2 linked regions of the Canis lupus familiaris genome follow. The protein of the gene in region 1 purifies or fractionates together with the protein of each later gene. This does not show direct contact. Links are inferred from orthologs where the notes say so. Each region holds a gene or a part of one and is shown in the gene's direction. Other genes may lie near its edges. The genes, in order: OFD1 and CEP20.

Evidence for each region.
Region 2: the proteins of OFD1 (region 1) and CEP20 purify together in Homo sapiens (co-immunoprecipitation; 3 studies listed by BioGRID and IntAct, with this or other methods). This does not show direct contact. The link is inferred for Canis lupus familiaris from reciprocal best matches to the Homo sapiens genes OFD1 and CEP20.

Annotation. Positions count from the first base shown.
Region 1 is NC_049260.1:10,215,340-10,219,150, forward strand, and holds part of OFD1 (oral-facial-digital syndrome 1 protein), read left to right. Parts: intron 1-1,335; coding exon 1,336-1,455; intron 1,456-3,499; coding exon 3,500-3,573; intron 3,574-3,811. UniProt on the Homo sapiens protein: Component of the centrioles controlling mother and daughter centrioles length. Recruits to the centriole IFT88 and centriole distal appendage-specific proteins including CEP164. Involved in the biogenesis of the cilium, a centriole-associated function.
Region 2 is NC_049227.1:28,276,862-28,281,298, forward strand, and holds the start of CEP20 (centrosomal protein 20), read left to right. Parts: upstream 1-1,411; 5' UTR 1,412-1,481; coding exon 1,482-1,509; intron 1,510-4,437. UniProt on the Homo sapiens protein: Involved in the biogenesis of cilia. Required for the recruitment of PLK1 to centrosomes and S phase progression.

The DNA of each region.
Region 1 (3,811 bases):
GCTCACAGATGTATCATCCTTCAAATCTTACCTGGGATTAATACCCCCCTCACCAGTCTATATTTGGTGGAATAAGCTTTCTTTGCCATCTGGGATCTTGACATTCATAGATACTCCAGGAATCTGATTTTAAGAGTTTGTCTCCATCTTTATTAATGTTGTTTTTTCATTTACATAGGCTCTGTTCGTTTGATTTCTCTCTGCCTACCTTACTCTCCTTTTGGCGATACTAAAATGACACATTGATAACGAGAGAAAAAAGAAAAGGAACAAAATTTGGGCAGATTCTTGATATAATCATAATTATATAATCACTTCCCTACCTCGTCGTCCCCTACTTCTCTTGTCTAAGTCTATTAAATGAAATAAATGGATTTAATGCTCCTTTGGTTTAAGATTAGTCAGGAGAGGGAGCTCTAACGCAAAGCCTTTTTTTTTTTTAAGATTTTATTTATTCATTAAAAAAAAAAAAGATTTTATTTATTCATGATCTAGAGAGAGAGGCAGAGACACAGGCAGAGGGAGAAGCAGGCTCCATGCAGGGAGCCCGATGTGGGACTCGATCCCGGGACTCCAGGATCACACCCTGGGCCAAAGGCAGGCGCTAAACCCCTGAACCACCCAGGGATCCTCTAACACAAAGCCTTTATCCTTTGCTTGGAACAGAGTGTTTGTAGCCCTCCTCACTACCGTTTAGACTAAGTACTTGTGAACCTGATCCTAGGCTCTGGAATTGGTTTTGTGGGTGATTGAAGGTCTCCCCATGAAAAGCACTCCCATTCTTCGGATTTGGAGGTTCTAATGGACTCATCCATCGTTTGCTATTTTGGCACTCTTTTCAACCTTCAATTGATGGATTTTTTAAATGCCGGAAACAAATCTTCTATCTATAATTCTTATGGGCTAGTCAATTAAGTCTCACAGTTAGAAATAATATTCTAGAAGAAACAAGCATTTAAGTACACTAGAGTTTGGTTTGTAGCTTTGTAACTAAAAACCTCACCCTTTTACCCCTAAATTGATTATGACCATTTATCCCCTGTAACCCTTTTTGAGTGTGGATCATCTTCTATAAGCAACCACTTTGGTCTTGATACATTCACACTGCCTTTAGCCAGGTGCCACCAGGTAATTCCATCTGCTTGTTTATGAACTGAGTCAGTTCATAAAATAGATGGAGGACTTCAGGTTCTTACAGTTTATTTCCTGGCAGTGGTAGCCATATTACAGTTTTAGCCTGTGGAACTAAAACACAAGTTATTTTTTCCCCATAAAGTTTCTTACTTCAGATGTCGTGGTTTCCTTATTTGCTTTCTCTATTTTTGCTAATTTCAGGGCTCAAAGGCTACAAGAAGAACAAAATAAAAGCATAACTGATGCACTTAGGAAGCGGGAGCTGAATATAAAGAGCATTGAGGAGAGCTATGACCAGAAGCTCAAGAATGAACTTCTCAAGTAATTGCTTGGCATTTTTAAAGGAATCCTGTGTTAAAATAAGTTGCTAGAAACATGGCAACACTGATGAAGTAGATAAGACAGATAAATGATGGCAAAATTCAATGTTTAAAAAACATATTTTCATTAGTAATCAAGCCTTTCCCTTGATTATTTAAGATGAGTTTAAAAAGATACAGAGAATGGCATCCTCTGCTCATTCTTATTTGTAGCTTCTCTGACACTTACTGAGGGCCTAAGGTTTGCTTCAATTTTTAGGGAACCTTAGCACTTGCTCATTTTGCACGGCTAAGCAGCTGTAAAGTTGGAATTAAAATCACTTTCTGTTCTGTTTTCTCCTCATACTGGCACTAAGATGGGGATAGGCAATAATGTATACATTCGTCTTTTTTTTTAATATTTTATTTATTCATGAGAGACACAGAGAGAGAGAGAGAGAGAGAGAGAGAGGGCAGAGACACAGGCAGAGGGAGAAGCAGGCTCCATGCAGGGACCCCAATGTGGGACTCGATCCTGGGTCTCCAGGACCACGCCCTGAGCCAAAGGCAGGCACTAAACCGCTGAGCCACGCAGGGATCCCTACTTTGGTCTTCTTACCTGGTTAGAGTGTTTATCTATCATGTGCCTTGTATTCCTTCAAGGTTCTGGAAAGCCAAAATCCAGAAAAAAGCCAAATAATCATATGAAGCAAAAAAACAGCATAGGAGAGGAGAATGTGGACAAGTGTGGTCCCTGGGGCTTTCCTATAGCCTGAGTTTTGTGTTCTGGTGAATAATACCTTTGTGCAAATACATTAAGCCCATATGGAAACTTTCCCTCCAGTGCGTGGTATAGCATCTGGCACATAATAAGTGCTCAGTTGATACCAATTGAGTAAATGCATGTGTAGTGAAGAGATGACTCCACTCAGCTCCTCTGATTAAGGTCATTGGTCTCCTTTTTATTGCCTTGCTCATAATTTGTCATTGGAATTCCATTACATAGTACCCGCAAAGGTTTCTGGAGGTTATTGTTTAAAAGAATTCTGTTGGGGATCCCTGGGTGGCGCAGCGGTTTGGCGCCTGCCTTTGGCCCAGGGCGCGATCCTGGAGACCCGGGATCGAATCCCATGTCGGGCTCCCAGTGCATGGAGCCTCCTTCTCCCTCTGCCTGTGTCTCTGCCTCTCTCTCTGTGTGTGTGTGACTATCATAAAAAATAAAATAAAATAAAAGAATTCTGTTAAAAAGGAAAAGCAGCACCTTTTCTTTGTATCAGTTTTGAAATGGATTTTATCTACATATTTTATATCTGCTCCTCTAACATACTAGCAAACACTGAAGTAACTCTAGTTGTTAAACTGTGACAAATGAGAAAAATGTGTGCTTTAACTTTGCATAGCTGTGGATGCAGTGAACTGTTTGGTATCATTTGTCTGGCTTTGGGTGTCCTCAGCCGTTAGCAAGTGTTGAAGTTGGGGGGATATCATAGGAGCACTTCTCTTTCATTTCCTTTCTCTGACCTCTGAACCAGAAAGTTGACTGCTAACAGCTGGTGGAGATGGTGGAAGCCCCTTGAGATGTGCCTTTGGGTACCACTAATTCAGGTCTGATGCTGTTGGCAGTTGGTGCTCTCAATACTGTGCTCAGTCTTGAAGGGCAAAAGTTCTTACCTAAGAAGAGGGGATGTGGGATAGGTGAATTGCAAGTGACTGACTTGGTTATCATCTGGGATTTAGTGTCTGTCATGTTACCTTAATTTACTTCTTGGCATCTGTCGAGACCAAGAGGAATCCCTGCTCTCAGTAACCTCATGACAACAGAGCCCTTCACTTTGTGTGATTGAGTTTTGGGACCGAATTTATAGGATCATAGCAGAGGTTTACGGACGGACCTTTGATGTTGAGAATTCAGATCCCTGGCTTTAGTCTTGAGAGAGCCTGGGGTTTACGTGTCACCGTGGTTGATGCCCTTATGTGCCCCAGGTGTCATAGATAAGCTCACGTGTTGATGGTAGACCATCCAGGATTGTGACAGGGAGCTCATGTTTAGTTCTTCTGATTCGTAGGTATCAACTCGAACTAAAGGACGACTACATCGCCAGAACTAACAGGCTGATTGACGATGAAAGGAAGAATAAAGGTGACTCTGGGGGCAAGCTGTATTTTTCAGCGCCGATGTGTAGGCTGTTGGTTTCCTAGTTGGGCCTGTTCTATATTCTAAAAAAGACACAGCTTACACTATCTTGTTACTACAAAAATGATATGTTGTTTGTTATTTTAATTTTACAAAATAAAAAAATACTGTCTTAACTACATTTTTGTGAACCTTAGTGCTTAACCTTTTGTATATTCCCAAAGGCCAGTAATTTATCAGTAGG
Region 2 (4,437 bases), on another chromosome or scaffold:
TTGAAAATATGTTCATTGGGAGCCACTGATAAATAGATTTCAGAACCTACTATGGGTTAAGACTAGCAATTTAAAGGGCACTGTTCTGGGATCTAGGTCACAGGCATAGACCTTCCTGGCAATGGAAGGAATCACATAACTGGATTCCTAACTGGAAGCACAGAGTCTCACACTCAGTTTTGGGTAAATTATCTCCATTATTCCCATGTTTTTTCTTCTTCATATATTTGGGATGGTAGAGTTTATTCGTTCCTCAATTATTCACAAATAGCTTTTGGACTCCTTAGGAGCACTACCCATAATTAAGTGCCAGGGGAAGAGAACAGGCTTTGAACAGCAAGAGGCCTGGATGCAAATCTCACCTCCACCATTTGCTCATGATCTTGATTTAAGCCTTATCGGTCATCCAAGACTCCGTTTCCTCCTCTGTAAAATGGGAGTTACAGTAGAGAAATCACTGAGCCAACATATATAAAGCATTTAGCACAGTGTCAGGCTCACAGTTAAGTCCTTAACACAGTGAGACCAGCAGCACCAGCAGCACCAGAGAACTTGTCAGAAATGCAGTTCTTGGAGGGCGCCTGGGTGGCTCAATGGTTGAGCTTCTGCCTTTGGCTCAAGTCGTGATTCCTAGGTGTGATCCTGGGTTCCTGGGATCAAGTCCTGCATCAGGCCCGCTGCAGGGAGCCTGCTTCTCCCTCTGCCTATGTCTCTGCCTCTCTCTCTCTGTCTCTCTAAAATAAAATAATTAGAATAGAATAGAATGCAGTTCTCAGATCTCACTCTGGATTGACTACATCAGAAACCCCAGCGGTGGGGCCCCATGATTCCTAGGTGTGATCCTGGGTTCCTAGGATCAAGTCTTGCATCAGGCTCGCTGCAGGGAGCCTGCTTCTCCCTCTGCCTATGTCTCTGCCTCTCTCTCTCTCTCTCTCTCTCTCTCTCACTGTGTCTCTCTAAAATAAAATAATGAATAGAATAGAATAGAATAGAATGGAATGGAACGGAATGGAATGCAGTTCTCAGATCTCACCCTGGCTTGACTACATCAAAAACCCCAGCGGTGGGGCCCCGTGATGTTTTAACAAATCTTCCAGGTGATTCTGAGGCACGTTCAAGTTTGAGAAACACAGGCTTAATACTTGGTAACCATTGACAATCAGTCCCTGAGCCTGCAGCGATGAGCAGTGGGCAGAGCACGGAAGGACTGATCAACCACAGTGCAGCACTAAAGAGCCGGCAGCATCTGCAGGTGAGGTCTCTAACTGGTCTCGGGGCCGGCTCCTCCCACCTCCTCCCTCAGCACCTAGAGAGCTCGCTGATTGGTAGGATCCCTCCGGACCGTCACCACCCACCCAATCCGGGAGGGCGAAAACTGAAAGGGGCGGGACTGAGCAGCGCGAGAGGGGCGCGCCTATTGGCTGTAGACCGGCGCTGCGCGTGCGCACAGCCGACGCGCGCCCGTGACTGCCGGTTGAAAGATGGCGACTGTCGCGGAGCTGAAGGCTGGTGAGTTCGAGTGGGCGGTGTGCAGGGTGAACCGCGCCTGGTCTTCCTCCCGTGAAGAGGATGGGCTGGAAGGAGAGCGCGCGGAACACAGAGTTAGCCTTTCCGGGGGTCGCTGCGCGGCGTCAGGGCCCGCAAGGCGTCCGGCTGGCGTGGCGGCCGCTGCGCCGGGGGCGGGGGGAGGGGTCCTGGGGGAGAGAAGCGGTTGCTCGGGACCAGCTGGGCGGGTCCCAGGTGCGCCGTCGAGCCGAGGAGATGCTGCGCGACCCGCAGGTTCCCGAGAGGTCTGCAGTCCTGCTCGGTGGGCCTCCGGCGCTTTTGTCGGAGCCCTGTCGGGCCGAGGCTCTGGGCTGCCCCTTTCGTCGGGGGCTGAGGATTTCGTCCCCCTCCGTGATCGGGCCTCGGCGCGACCCCGAACCATTAGCTTACCTGTCTCACCGAAGCCTTGCCGCACCCTGCGGGTTGGGTCCCGGTCCCCGTCGGGAAGGCCTGCCCTGGCCACGCTCCTGTGGTTTTTGTTTTTTGTCCTCCCCCCCCCCCTCCCCCCAGCAAGAGTTCCGCAAAGGTGCGAGTCATCGAGCGGGATGGTGTTTGCGCACCGTTGGTTTTTAAACTTTTTTTTTTTTAAGGTTTATTTGTTTACTTATGATAGAGACACACAGAGAGAGGCAGAGACACAGGCAGAGGGAGAAGCAGGCTCCACGCCGGGAGCCCGACGTGGGACTCGATCCCGGGACTCCAGGATCGCGCCCTGGGTCAAAGGCAGGCGCTAAACCGCCGCGCCACCCGGGGATCCCCGCACCGTTGGTTTTAACCGAGGTGTCCAAGCAGCGAACAGTAGTCGGAGGCGAGAAGCGACCGAGCCTTCCGTGTCAGGCCCTGCCCAGCCCCCCTGTGTTACCCAGTGGAGTCTGTGTGACACCCTAGGCCTGTGTAGGTCGTGAGAAATGAAGGTGCAGGGAGTTGCAATAGCTCGCGCCAAGTAACCGAGCTAGAAAGAGGCAGTGCGAGGCAGTGCGTGAGAACCTGGGTTTGCTCCCCCAGCTCTCCCCACCTCCCGGAGCTCCACGTCTTCATCCCTGGGTCATACTGCTACCCGATTAAGAACACTAGTTCCGGTTTTCAGGGACCTTAAATGAGCTCTTAATGAGTCATTTTTTTTAGAAAAGATTTTATTTATTTATTCATTCATAAGAGGCAGAGACACAGTCTGAGGGAGAAGCAGGCTCCCTGCAAGGAGCCCCCATGGGGGACTCAATCCCAGGTCTCCAGGATCACGCCCTGGGCCCAAGGCAGCAGATGCTCAACCGCTGGGCCACTCAGGTGCCCCTAAAAAGGTCATTCTTAAATACCTAGTGAGGAGGGGTTGAATCTCTTTTGAGGGTAGAGTTCAGTAAGCATTGATACAAATGTGTATTTGGGGCATTGGGCTCATGAATGGTCATAAAAAAAGGCATGCCTTTATCCACAAGGAATAGTCTTTTAAGTGAATCCGAGCACCCTCTCTGCACGAAATCCATAACACGTGTAAATCAGAGGATTTTTTTTGTTTTTTTTTTTCTTTTTTATTGGTGTTCAATTTGCCAACATATAGCATAACACCCAGTGCTCATCCCACCAAGTGCCCCACTCAGTGCCCATCACCCAGTCACCCCAAACCCCCACGCCCACCTCCCCTTCCACCACCCCTTGTTCATTTCCCAGAGTTAGGTGTCTCTCATGTTTTGTCACCTTCACTGTAAATCAGAGGATTTAAAGATGCTTTGGGATATCAGGCCAGGTTAAGAACCTCTTTTTTTTTTTTTAAAGATTGCATTTATTTATTCATTAGACACAGAGGGAGGCAGAGGGAGAAGCAGGCTCCCTGCAGGCAGCCTGATGCAGAACTCCATCCTAGAACCCTGGGATCAGGATCTGAGCCAAAGGCAGAAAAAGCTCAACCACCGAGCCATCCAGGCATCCCAAGAACCTCTTTCTGAAGTTGTTGCTAGGGTACAGAGTTTTAAGCATAGTTAGAGAAAGTTTAAGACTCAGTTGGTATGCAACCTGAAAAGAAAATGTAATAGGAGATTAGGAGTGTCCTATGCAGATATATCCCTACATGTATCCTTTTATGTTTTTTTCTTCTGCATTTCCCACTTCAGAATATGCTGTGTGTTCCAGAGAAACTTTGTTTTTTTTTAAGATTTTATTTATTTATTTATTCATGAGAGACAGAGTGAGGCAGAGACACAGGCAAAGGGAGAAGCAGGCTCCATGCAGGAGCCTGATGTGGGACTCGATCCGGGATCCCCAGGATCATACCCCCGGCCAAAGGTGGCGCTAAAACGCTGAACCACTGGGGCTGCCCCCAGAGAAACTTCTTGAAAATTTATTTCCCACTCAATCATTTTACATTGTATGGGCTTTTACCTTTTTCTTTTTCCTTAAAGAGGGGCAAGTGGGAAGGAGCAGAGGGAGAGGGAGAAAGAGAATCTTGAGTAGGCTCCATCCCCACTGTAGAGCCCAATGCAAGGCTGCATCTCAGGACCCTGAGATCATAACCTGAGCTGAAATCAAGAGTCTGGTCCTTAACCAACTGAGCCACCTGAGTGCCCCTGGGCTTTTACCTTTTTAAACATTTTCACATTTTCCACCTCACTTGGTTCTGCCTCTGAGATGTAGGACTCCGTATGTTGCAGAGGGCAGCTGAGGCATAAGCTGGTGATGACACAGGATAGGCTTCCTAATTCCAGCTTCATTAATTCTCATTTCTCTGCTGAGTTTGAGGTTATGTTGCATGCAAATTCAGAGTAATTGGGGGATCTCTGGGTGGCTCAGCGGTTTAGCGCCTGCGTTTGGCCCAGGGTGTGATCCTGGAGTCCCCGGATTGAGTCCTGTGTTGGGCTCCCGGCATGGAGCCTGCTTCTCCCTCTGCCTGTGTCTCTGCCT